2 linked regions of the Arabidopsis thaliana genome follow. The protein of the gene in region 1 interacts with the protein of each later gene in a pairwise test. Each region holds a gene or a part of one and is shown in the gene's direction. Other genes may lie near its edges.

What was found.
Region 2: the proteins of AT2G18850 (region 1) and AT2G16210 interact in a two-hybrid assay, tested with the Arabidopsis thaliana proteins (one large-scale study listed by BioGRID).

Annotation. Positions count from the first base shown.
Region 1 is NC_003071.7:8,158,987-8,164,572, forward strand, and holds AT2G18850 (SET domain-containing protein), read left to right. Parts: upstream 1-1,613; 5' UTR 1,614-1,801; coding exon 1,802-1,804; intron 1,805-1,920; coding exon 1,921-2,004; intron 2,005-2,194; coding exon 2,195-2,323; intron 2,324-2,392; coding exon 2,393-2,684; intron 2,685-2,766; coding exon 2,767-2,885; intron 2,886-2,971; coding exon 2,972-3,104; intron 3,105-3,190; coding exon 3,191-3,267; intron 3,268-3,354; coding exon 3,355-3,549; intron 3,550-3,634; coding exon 3,635-3,824; intron 3,825-3,903; coding exon 3,904-4,076; intron 4,077-4,168; coding exon 4,169-4,269; intron 4,270-4,357; coding exon 4,358-4,493; 3' UTR 4,494-4,776; downstream 4,777-5,586. Other genes in the region: AT2G18840 (Integral membrane Yip1 family protein), read left to right, coding at 438-512, 602-862; AT2G18860 (Syntaxin/t-SNARE family protein), read left to right, coding at 5,372-5,454, 5,575-5,586.
Region 2 is NC_003071.7:7,026,170-7,031,089, reverse strand, and holds AT2G16210 (Transcriptional factor B3 family protein), read left to right. Parts: upstream 1-1,914; 5' UTR 1,915-2,096; coding exon 2,097-2,195; intron 2,196-3,144; coding exon 3,145-3,439; intron 3,440-3,521; coding exon 3,522-3,772; coding exon of another isoform or gene 3,773-3,781; exon of another isoform or gene 3,782-3,863; coding exon 3,864-4,094; 3' UTR 4,095-4,329; downstream 4,330-4,920. Other genes in the region: AT2G16220 (F-box and associated interaction domains-containing protein), read left to right, coding at 1-935.

The DNA of each region.
Region 1 (5,586 bases):
GATTATAGATGGAACACGATGACGGGAAACAAGGATTGAGTTACAGAAAATTAGGAGTTTTTAAATGGGAGTGAAGATAGCATTTCCACTTCTTTGCATTAAGATTGTTCTCCAATTGTGATTTTTTAGATTATAGAAGGAACATGATGAAGAAAAATGAGGACTGTTCTTGTGGCATTGCTTCTCACTTGATTCTTAGGCTATAGGTTATATAAAGCTTCTTTCTTGTACAGTGGATCATGTAGGATTTTGACTCACAAAGTAGCACTTTGGATGCACTATTCTGAGTTATTAGCATGTAGGTCTGATTAAAGGATTGAATTTGAATCTGATGTAATTACAGCTTATCTTGCCGATATTGAGTGGCTTTTCATAGAATGCTATCTATTATCTATCAGAATTCGTCTTTGTCTCATACCTTTTCCCTTTGATTCCAGTCCGAGGTATTTGCAGTGGCATTTGCACTATTAGCAGCCGGGGCGGTGATCCTTACACTAAACGTGCTTCTCCTGGTAAACCACCACTGCTCTCTCCTTGTATCTCGTGCAGATGTTTTTCGTTTGATCACATACTTACAACCATTATGTTGTGTCATGAACAGGGTGGACATATAATCTTCTTCCAAAGCTTGAGCCTTCTAGGTTACTGTTTATTTCCGCTAGACGTTGGAGCCGTGATCTGCATGTTGAAAGACAATGTGATACTGAAGATGGTGGTTGTGTCTGTAACCCTTGCCTGGAGCTCATGGGCTGCTTACCCTTTTATGAGCTCAGCGGTTAACCCAAGAAGAAAAGCACTCGCTCTATACCCCGTCTTCCTCATGTATGTGTCAGTCGGTTTTCTCATCATAGCCATCAATTGAATCCCCAATTTTGAGAAGAAAAAGGGAATCATCACAGGTATTCTCAGGAATCAGCTTGGATAGAAATTTTTCATACATACACAAACCATCCTGAGTTCTGATGATCATGTATAAACATGTTTTGTTACCCTTTTTTGTGGGTTTGGTTAAAAAGAAGATCATCATTTGTATGTGCCCCGCTCTATCTGCATTAAGCTTACATTTATCTTTTTGGCCATAAATACAATTTTTTTACCAAACATTACTTCATATGGTTTCTCGAGATAGTATCGACATGCAATTTTGTTGGTCGTCCACCCAACCCTAAACACGTGTTATAGTATTAACATGGAAATGTGGAAACCAGATCACAACCATGCTAAAACAAGGGTTAAATTTTATTTAGTAATCATTAGCATAATCGAATAGATTATGAACATATTTTTGATATATAATAATACCAAATTCAATATTTGCTTTAAATTTATATTTATATTTTGGAATCGCAATAAAAAAATTGTTTACACAATCCATCATTCGTTATTTTCAAAATTATTCTACTTATTTTATTCATTTCAAAATTATTCGAATACATTAATGAACATCATTCATTTTTCAATTTTTTTTTGTTATTCAACTTATTTATTCATTTTTATTTATTTATTCAACTTTTTAATTTTTATTTTGTTGTTAGCTTCCATTTGCATATGCTTCGTATCGTATATCATCACTTCCAGTTTTTTACCGGTTGGGGGGGGGGGGGGGGAAGAAGCAGAGATGATTCGTCAACAAACAAAAACGAATTTATTTTGAACCAAACCGGATGTATATTTTAAACCGAAATCAAACCGGGAAAACCTGTATTGACGAGCCCTCTTCTTCTTCAGCTAGTGAGAGGCTGCCTCACTTGCTTGCTGGTTTGATACTGCCAAGTTTTTCGCTTTCTCAGCTCTTCCTTCGATGGTAATCTTCAAATTCCTTTCCTTTAGACCCTTATTAATCTTATTGCTTTTGTAATAGACTTGGTTTAGTGTGTTTTTTGTCGTAGCGAGTTTAATCTTGTTGCTGGTTATTGTAAGGTTGGTGCTTTGAATATCATGTCAGAGACTGGTGATTTATGTGTAGAACTTCCCAAAGATGATCCCTTTTATCACCACAAAAAGGTTCAATTTCCTAATTTCTCTGCTCTTCTGTTATCTCAATACTCAAAGCCATTAGCTTTTTTTTTGCCTTATAGTCTAAAGATCAGATTTTTCATGTGCCAAAGTCTTAAAATATTACACTGTTTAGTTTTTCTCATGTTTTGTTTGAGTTTTTATGAAAATGAATTTTCTTATGATTTTGTGTCTGTAGAAGTTCTTGAGTTGCAAAGGTTTATGCGTAAAGGAAACATTGAACCTCAGTGGATCATTATCTCAACAACTGTTGAATGCTGCATTGGAAAAGTTGCTTCATTTTGGACGAATAGTTAATCTCGATAAGGTAAGCAAACATCGTAGGCCATTGTAATGCATGTGAAGTTGCTTAGATGATGGATTGAGTGAAATGCAGGTGGAAGTTTACTTTGGTGAGGATGCTTGCACTCCTGCAGGAATTTACAGTGTTAGAAACGAAATCTCAGCTCTCAGCTGGATCCTTTCGCTTATACCGGTTTCTTGTAAGATGCAAACACAAGTTGATACCTTTGAAGCTCTACGAGCTGCTTTAAAAGGTAGAATCAATGAGGTTGTTGGAGCTGAAAAGGAGAAAGCTAGAGTTGTTGATAGCTATAGATGCGAAAAGGAAAGCAAATTAGTAGAATGGGGTCAGGACAATGGAGTCAAAACCAAATTGCAGATAGCTCGTAAGCTTAACGGTTTTTTTCTGTTATGAAGTTATCAACAGAGATTTAAGTTTATGACAATGTGTTTTATAAATTTGGATAGAAATTGATGGCTATGGACGAGGAGCTATAGCTAGCGAAGACTTGAAATTTGGCGATGTTGCTTTAGAGATTCCAGTCTCAAGTATCATTTCGGAGGAGTATGTGTACAACTCCGACATGGTATATCATTTGAGTTCATCCTGATTTAAAGATTGCGTCAGTTTCATCATAGCAATGCTATATGATGAGTGTTCTCTTGTCTTCAGTACCCAATATTGGAGACGTTTGATGGCATTACATCTGAGACAATGCTGCTCTTATGGACCATGAGGGAAAAGCATAACCTGGACTCGAAATTCAAACCATACTTTGACTCTCTGCAAGAGAATTTTTGTACCGGTAAAATTGTTTGGAGAACTAAATATTCAATTCTTGTAGCAGTGTTTGTTTCAAAGAGACAACAAACATTGATTCTCTCATTGCAGGTTTGAGTTTTGGGGTTGATGCAATCATGGAGCTTGATGGTACATTGCTTTTAGATGAAATAATGCAAGCTAAAGAGGTGTGACTTGATCCCATCTCTTATCTTTTGGTTCTGTGATTTGTATTATGTTCTTGATTCCATTGGCAATTGTTTGTATATCTGCAGCTTTTGCGTGAGAGGTATGATGAATTGATTCCTCTTTTATCGAACCACCGGGAAGTATTTCCACCGGAGCTCTATACATGGGAACATTACTTATGGGCTTGTGAGTTGTATTACTCAAATAGCATGCAAATCAAATTCCCAGATGGAAAGCTGAAGACTTGCTTGATTCCTGTCGCCGGTTTTCTCAACCATTCTGTATGTGTCTTCTCTCGTTCTGCCTCTGGTATACTAAGTAATTCCTATCACTATCCGGAATATGATAATTTGGCGGGTTTTGCAGATATACCCACACATAGTGAAATATGGAAAAGTAGACATTGAGACGAGTTCCTTGAAGTTCCCAGTCTCAAGGCCTTGCAACAAAGGGGAACAATGTTTTCTTAGCTACGGAAACTACTCTAGTTCGCATCTGTTAACATTTTACGGATTTCTACCAAAAGGGGATAACCCGTATGATGTCATTCCCTTAGGTAGTTTAACCTTACCTCATTCTGAGATCACTCAGGCTTACATGCTTTTTTTGCTTTAAGTTGTATCTCTTCCTTGCAGATTTTGATGTCATTGATGATGAAGACATCGAGACCGAGTTTTCTTGGACAACTCACATGTTACGCGGGACTTGGCTATCGAGTAATCACAACATCTTCCACTACGGCTTGCCTACTCCATTGTTGAACTACTTGCGCAAAGCTCATGGTCTTGTTCATCATTCTGAAACAGATGTATATATTCTTCATCACCTTCGTATAACTACATCTATATCTCTATGAATCTAACACTTAAGATATTTTTCTCATTTCTTGATTCTTTTAAGTTATGGAAGAACTTGGAAGTTGAGATAGGAGTACTTGAGAATCTCCAATCCACATTCGACGACATGATGCAAAATCTTGGCGATGCAGATTCTATCGACAGGTATCAGTAGTTGTCTTGTCATGATATACAAAAGCTGAAACAGAGTGACCAATTACTTAGTAATCCGTCTGGTTTTACACTTTTACAGAGAAAACGCGGATTGGGATGTTAAACTAGCGATGGAGTTCAAAGAGCGGCAGAGAAAGATTGTCTCATCCATTCTTGATTCATGTTCTGCAGGTATCAAACTAGTTCAAGAATCCATAACTAACCCACCGGTTTAGCTAAGGTAGAATGAGATGAGAACCTGATCTTGGATTCAGCTTATACTGTATTATGAAATGTATCTTCTTGACAAAGTTAAATTGTGTGAGTTAAAAGACTTTAGTTCAATTTTAGTTACATTTTAGTTACATTTTAGTTACATACTTCCTCTGTTTAATCTCATTAGACACCTCTTTTTTTCTTGCTTATATAATTGCTTCATATCCACGTAATCTCATTAGACACCTCTTTATATAATCTCATTAGAATTTATAAATTTATGTACTTACGTACGTACGTACGTGTGCGACTAACCCTAGACAAATTAACCGAATACTCTTTTTTTTGCAAATGCATCACGCATGGTACCCTAATAGTGGTGTCTCCATCATTTGTCATTACTTTCTGAATGCAAAATGAGTAATCAGATTCATTAACATTTGACTAATACTATATTTTCTCATATTTTTTGTGGGCATAGAGAATTATCAGTATTTTGAGCATATTATAAAAGTAATCTCAAATGGGAAACATAACAAATAATAAAAAAGAATGAAAAAGTTGATGTGGCTGCTGGTGGCAGCAAATTGGCGGACCCCATCTTCCAGGTTACATTCTTGTCGTTTTCCAGCTTCTTAACACAGAGCTATAATCTCATGCACCAAAGAGCATACTAATATCCTATGTCTCCGAGTAATAATCAGCCACGTTTCTATAATAGACACAAGTTGGTGTGACACTGACAAGAAAATAAATAAGATTTATAGAAAGTGGGAACAGAACACAAAAAAAAAGCTGAAACAAAGAGTTCGAGAAAAATTTCGATTCTCTTGCTCGTAAAAGCTTCTTTTGATTCTCTTTGACTCTGTTTTGTGGATAGCTCCTGAAGAAGAAGAAGATGATGGTAGTGAACAGCTTTGATCTATGGCAAAAAGATGTTTTCTTCTCTGCAGCTGAAGAGGTTCAAAAATCTACAGATATGTATGGTTTCTTGTTAGATTTTGATCTTGTAATCTCTTCTTTGAGCTTAGCTTTTGATCTTGCATAAATTAAGAGATTGAGATGTGTTTAATTTGCTATTGTTCTTTACTTGGATTTTAGAATGGAGTCTGC
Region 2 (4,920 bases), 1.1 Mb from region 1:
GAATCTATCATGATAATACCCCAAGATATTTTTCAATTGGTTACGCCTCTGGCTTGATCTATTTATATGGTGATCGATACGAGGCTACACCTCTGATATGTAACCCCAACACAGGAAGGTATACGATCTTACCTAAGTGCTATACTTATAGAAAGGCGTTTAGCTTTTTCGGGTTTGACCCAATTGACAAGCAGTACAAGGCATTGTCCATGATCTATCCATCTGGTCCTGGTCACAGTAAAATTCTTACTTTTGGAGATGGGGATATGAATTGGAAAAAGATAAAATATCGTGTACTACATGATATTTACAGTCAAGGGATATGCATCAATGGTGTTTTGTATTACTTAGGTGACACGTCAGATTGGGATAATGATCATGATGTAACGTCTGGTAATGTGTTAGTTTGCTTTGATTTAAGATCCGAAAGTTTCACCTTTATTGGCTTAGAATGTGGTCAATTGATAAACTATAAGGGCAAATTAGCTGTAATTTTTTGGGATGATGTGGATGATGATGATGTGAAAGATGATGCCATTGATGAGATGCATGTGTGGGTTCTAGAGGATGTCGAGAAAAAGGAATGGTCGAAATATGCCTACACTTGGACCGAGGATAAATTATACCGTTCTCAGGTTTCCGTGGTTGGAATGACTGCTTCGGGTGAAATAGTGTTTTCGATGCGCAAGTATACATCTGAACAACCGTTTTATGTTTACTACTTCAATCCCGAAAGGAACAATCTCCGACGTGTTGAAATCCAAGGTTTTGAAGCGTTTACTAAATTTGGTACAGTTTACACCTTTGTAGATCACGTAGAGGATCTTAATGTTTACAATTTAAAACATTTCAAGTCAGTCCATCCTCCATCGGTGCAGCCAGAATATGATGAATCAGATTCAGAATCAGAAGAAGATAGAGAGATTATCATTTAGGTGAAAGCAATGAGCATTTCATTTTGTTCTCTTAACTAGGCTTTTTTTATTTTACTTTTAAATCAACCTTATCTATCTCTCTTTAACGAAATTTATACTTAAGAACAAGGTTTTGCAGTTTCTCTTAGTTCTGTCTTAATCTGAGTATATTTGCTTAAATTATCAATATTGTTCTTCTGTATGAGATCTGTCCTCTGTTCTTTTTCAATATCTTTCAGTGTTTGTCGTTTGTGTGTGATGGAAATGATTTCATGATGACGTTTTGGAGTCAAATACTTAATGGGATATGTAACAATATTCACTGTTTTTTTCACTATAATTGAAGAAAAAGTTCCTTAATGTTCTTTTATTTAGTCTAAGTCGTCTTCATGTTCTTAAACTATACAACTTCTTGTTAGCTTTGTTTTTAAAGTTTGAAACTTTTGGTTCTCTGTAACAATGGGTCTTGTAAGCTGTCTTTGAAAGATGGAACATTCTCGTCAAAGGTTGTAAAGCGTTTAAGAAACCTTGTAGAGGATCTTAATGTTTAACGGTTTAAAACAACTCAAGCCAGTCCATCCTCCATCCTCCTTGGACGTTGTTCAGTACTCTGTTGTTTTGATTTTCTGCGCCAATTAATGTTTTGGACTCTCTCAACAACTTATGCAACGAGACTAGTACTAAGACTGAGAACCAAAGTTTTGCTCTGACTAGAAAAATGCTCATCTCTCAGTTGAATCATGCAAATTTTATACTTTGGTCCACAAATATTGTCCCACCTGATTTTGTTTCTGAGCTAATTATTGACTAGTATTATAATCTATTTAAGATTTTAAAATTATATATTAGATAAATAGAATACATCTTCTGAACATTTTATTTTTAATTGGATAATAAGTTAATAACAACTCCTCCCTCGTCTTAATTGGACAATACCAACATTGTATTTATACATTAAAGAAACACATATAAGAGTTATGTGTGACAAAAAGTACATGACCTCACATTGTACTTATTTCTCAGTTCTAACTTTAACCACTTTGACTGAATCTTTTCCTTTGAAATTTGGTAGAGATTTCAACAGGTTTGGTCCTTACAAAAGAGAGAGGGAGAGAGATATAGGAAGAGAGTGTGAAAGAGAGACGAGAGCAAAAGCTTTGTGGGTGAGCTTGAATTAGAGAGATGGCTACGAACGCTGGTTATCTTCGGTGCAAAGAAGAGCGCAAGAATGAAAGCTTCTTCAAGGTTGTTCAGAGTATAAATGTTTCTTCAGAAAACAAGGTAACAACCTTCTAAACTCTTCTCCTTGTTAAATTTGTTGGCTTAGTTTGGAAAGATTGAAACTTTCGGTTCTTTGTAACAGGGGTTTGTCTTAAACTTTGACACTTGTTATTTTAGTTTGGAAAGGTTGAAACTTTTCGTAAATTGTCTTTATGGGTATCAGGAAAAAAAACTCACAGATCTTCTCTATGTAACGAACTTTCTTCATTCTACACTCGTATTTTTCTGTCTGAATGTGAGGATTCATGCTTTATTTTGCATCTTTGTTTCTTCTAGATGAGATCTGTCCTCTGTTATTTTTCATTGTCTTTCTCCTGTTTTAGTTGCTTCACTTAGTTCTCTGTCTGAATGTGAGCATTCATGCATTATTTTGCATCTTTGTTTCCTTTAGATGAGATCTGCCCTCTGTTATTTTTCATTGTCTTGTTTGGTTTGTCATTTGCGTGTGATGGGACTAATTAAACTTTGGGCTCACATATGGAAGAATGGAAAAGAATGTTATGCCAAAACATTTTGTTGTGTTTGTCACACTATATTTGTTACATGGTGAGATTTGAAACTTTGTACTTAAGACTTGATGGGATGTGTAAGAACGTTCACTTCGTTAGTTTAGTTTGGAAATGTTGAAACTTTTGGTCCTTTGTAACGTTGAATCTTGTTAGCTGTTTGTTTAAAGGTTGACTCTTTTCGTCAATTCTCTTTATCTGATATCAAGAACATTGTTTTGCTGCTTCTCTCATTACTCAGTTTAGATGTGAGGAGTCGTCATGAATTATTTTTCACCTCTGTTTCTTCTGAATGAGATTTGTCCTCTGTTAATTTGAAACTGTGGACCAAATACTTGTTGATTCCCTGTAGTTGAAGAAACGTTCTTTAGATCAACCATTCTTGCTTTATTGAAATTTTAGTCTTCTTATATCGTCTCTTCATTTTATTTGCATAATGAAAGAGAGCACTTCCACATGACTTTTCGAGAAGCTTCACCGACAAAGAGCTCTCACGTAAGATGAAGATAAGAGCGCAATGGGGAAACTCTTGGGAAGTAGGAATCTCTAAAAACCCTAGATTTTACTTCATGGAGAAGTCTGGCTGGGAGAAGTTTGTGAGGGACAATGCTTTGGGAAACAGTGAGTTACTTACCTTCACTCACAAAGGGAAAATGCACTTTACCGTGAACATCTTTAAGCTAGACGGGAAAGAGATGATGCAACCTCCACAATCCAGATCCTTCTTTGCTTCTTCAAGTAAGTAAGATTTGTTTTTCTGATTATGAAACAGTGAAACTGGATAAAGTCATTGAGTCTTTAGTTTTTGTTGATGCAACAGGTCGTATCAAAACAGAACAAGAGGAAAATGACATTAAGGAAGAGGTAGTGGTATCTTCTAACCGTGGCCAGACAACTGCAGCTGAATCTAAAGGAAGAAAGCTCAACCTTGGGAAGAGGGCAGCTAAGGAATCCCAAAGTTCTAAAAGGACCGAGAAAGTGGTTAGAGCCCGAAGTGATTACGCTGGTGCCTCTTCATCTACTGCTGCAGCATTCACCATCTTGTTCAAGCAAGGATATCTCGTATTCCTGGTAAGATAACACAAACCAAGACACTCTAAACAAAATCTCTGTATTGAGCTAAAAATTGGTATGTGAATGAATCTTTTGTTTGAGTGTTTAGAGGATCCCGAATTCTGTATCGAAGGATCAAGTGCCGGATGAGAAAACAGTATTCAAGATCCATCACCCAAATGGGAAGAAATCATGGAATGTGGTTTATCTGGAGAGGTTTGGAGCTTTCTCTGGTGGATGGCGTCGTGTGGTTAAAGAGTATCCCCTTGCTGTTGGTGATACCTGCAAATTCACATTCATCAAACCAAAGGAGCTACTTCTAGTTGTCTCCAAACCCTAATGAGGATGGATGTGAGGGTGTCTTGGAGAAGAAGTTACTACGTAAAAGAACTTTATTGTCTTAAGTTTTATGTAATGACTTTAGTTTGGTTTTTGCATATGAACTTTGCTTCTTGTTTATCGGATGTAGCTCTGTAGCTTAATATTTTGAGACCAATTTATCAAAATCGTTATATGTATGAATTGAATGACCCTAGAATCAAATTATCAACTCAATGGTAACCTTTTATTGTCAATTTGGCTGGTCATGCATATCTGGAAAACTTCAGTTTGAATCTTTATTTCTTGGCCTCTAAAATTAAGTATGGATTCTGAAGAAACGAAGACACAATCCACGTCTGAGAAGGATGACCTAAACCGATAAGCCAACAACAACAATTGATGTTCTGTTCGTTCTGTTGCAATGTGCGTGACCTGTTTGAACATCATCTTAATTAGTCTACCACGTCCATTTTTATCTCCTTGGTATGAATATCCTGAAGAAGACAAGCTTGGAGGCCCACTTAGACGTTAAATCAGCCCATTTTTGTGTTTCTTAACCGACTAAAATCGGATAAATAAATTCACGAAAGCTAGGTCTCTTTAGTAGTATATAAGCTAGGTTTCTCTAGGTCTTACATTAATATGTAAATTTTAACAAATCTCCTTCTTCGTTCGATCTGAAATCATGAATTCATATTCCTTAACGAATGATCTCATCATGGAGATATTGTCGAGATTGCCAGCAGAGTCGGTCGTGAGGTTTTGTTGCGTGTCAAAGCGATGGGCATCAATGTTTGGTACTCCATATTTCAAGGAGTTGTGCCGGACCAGGTCCACGGCTAATC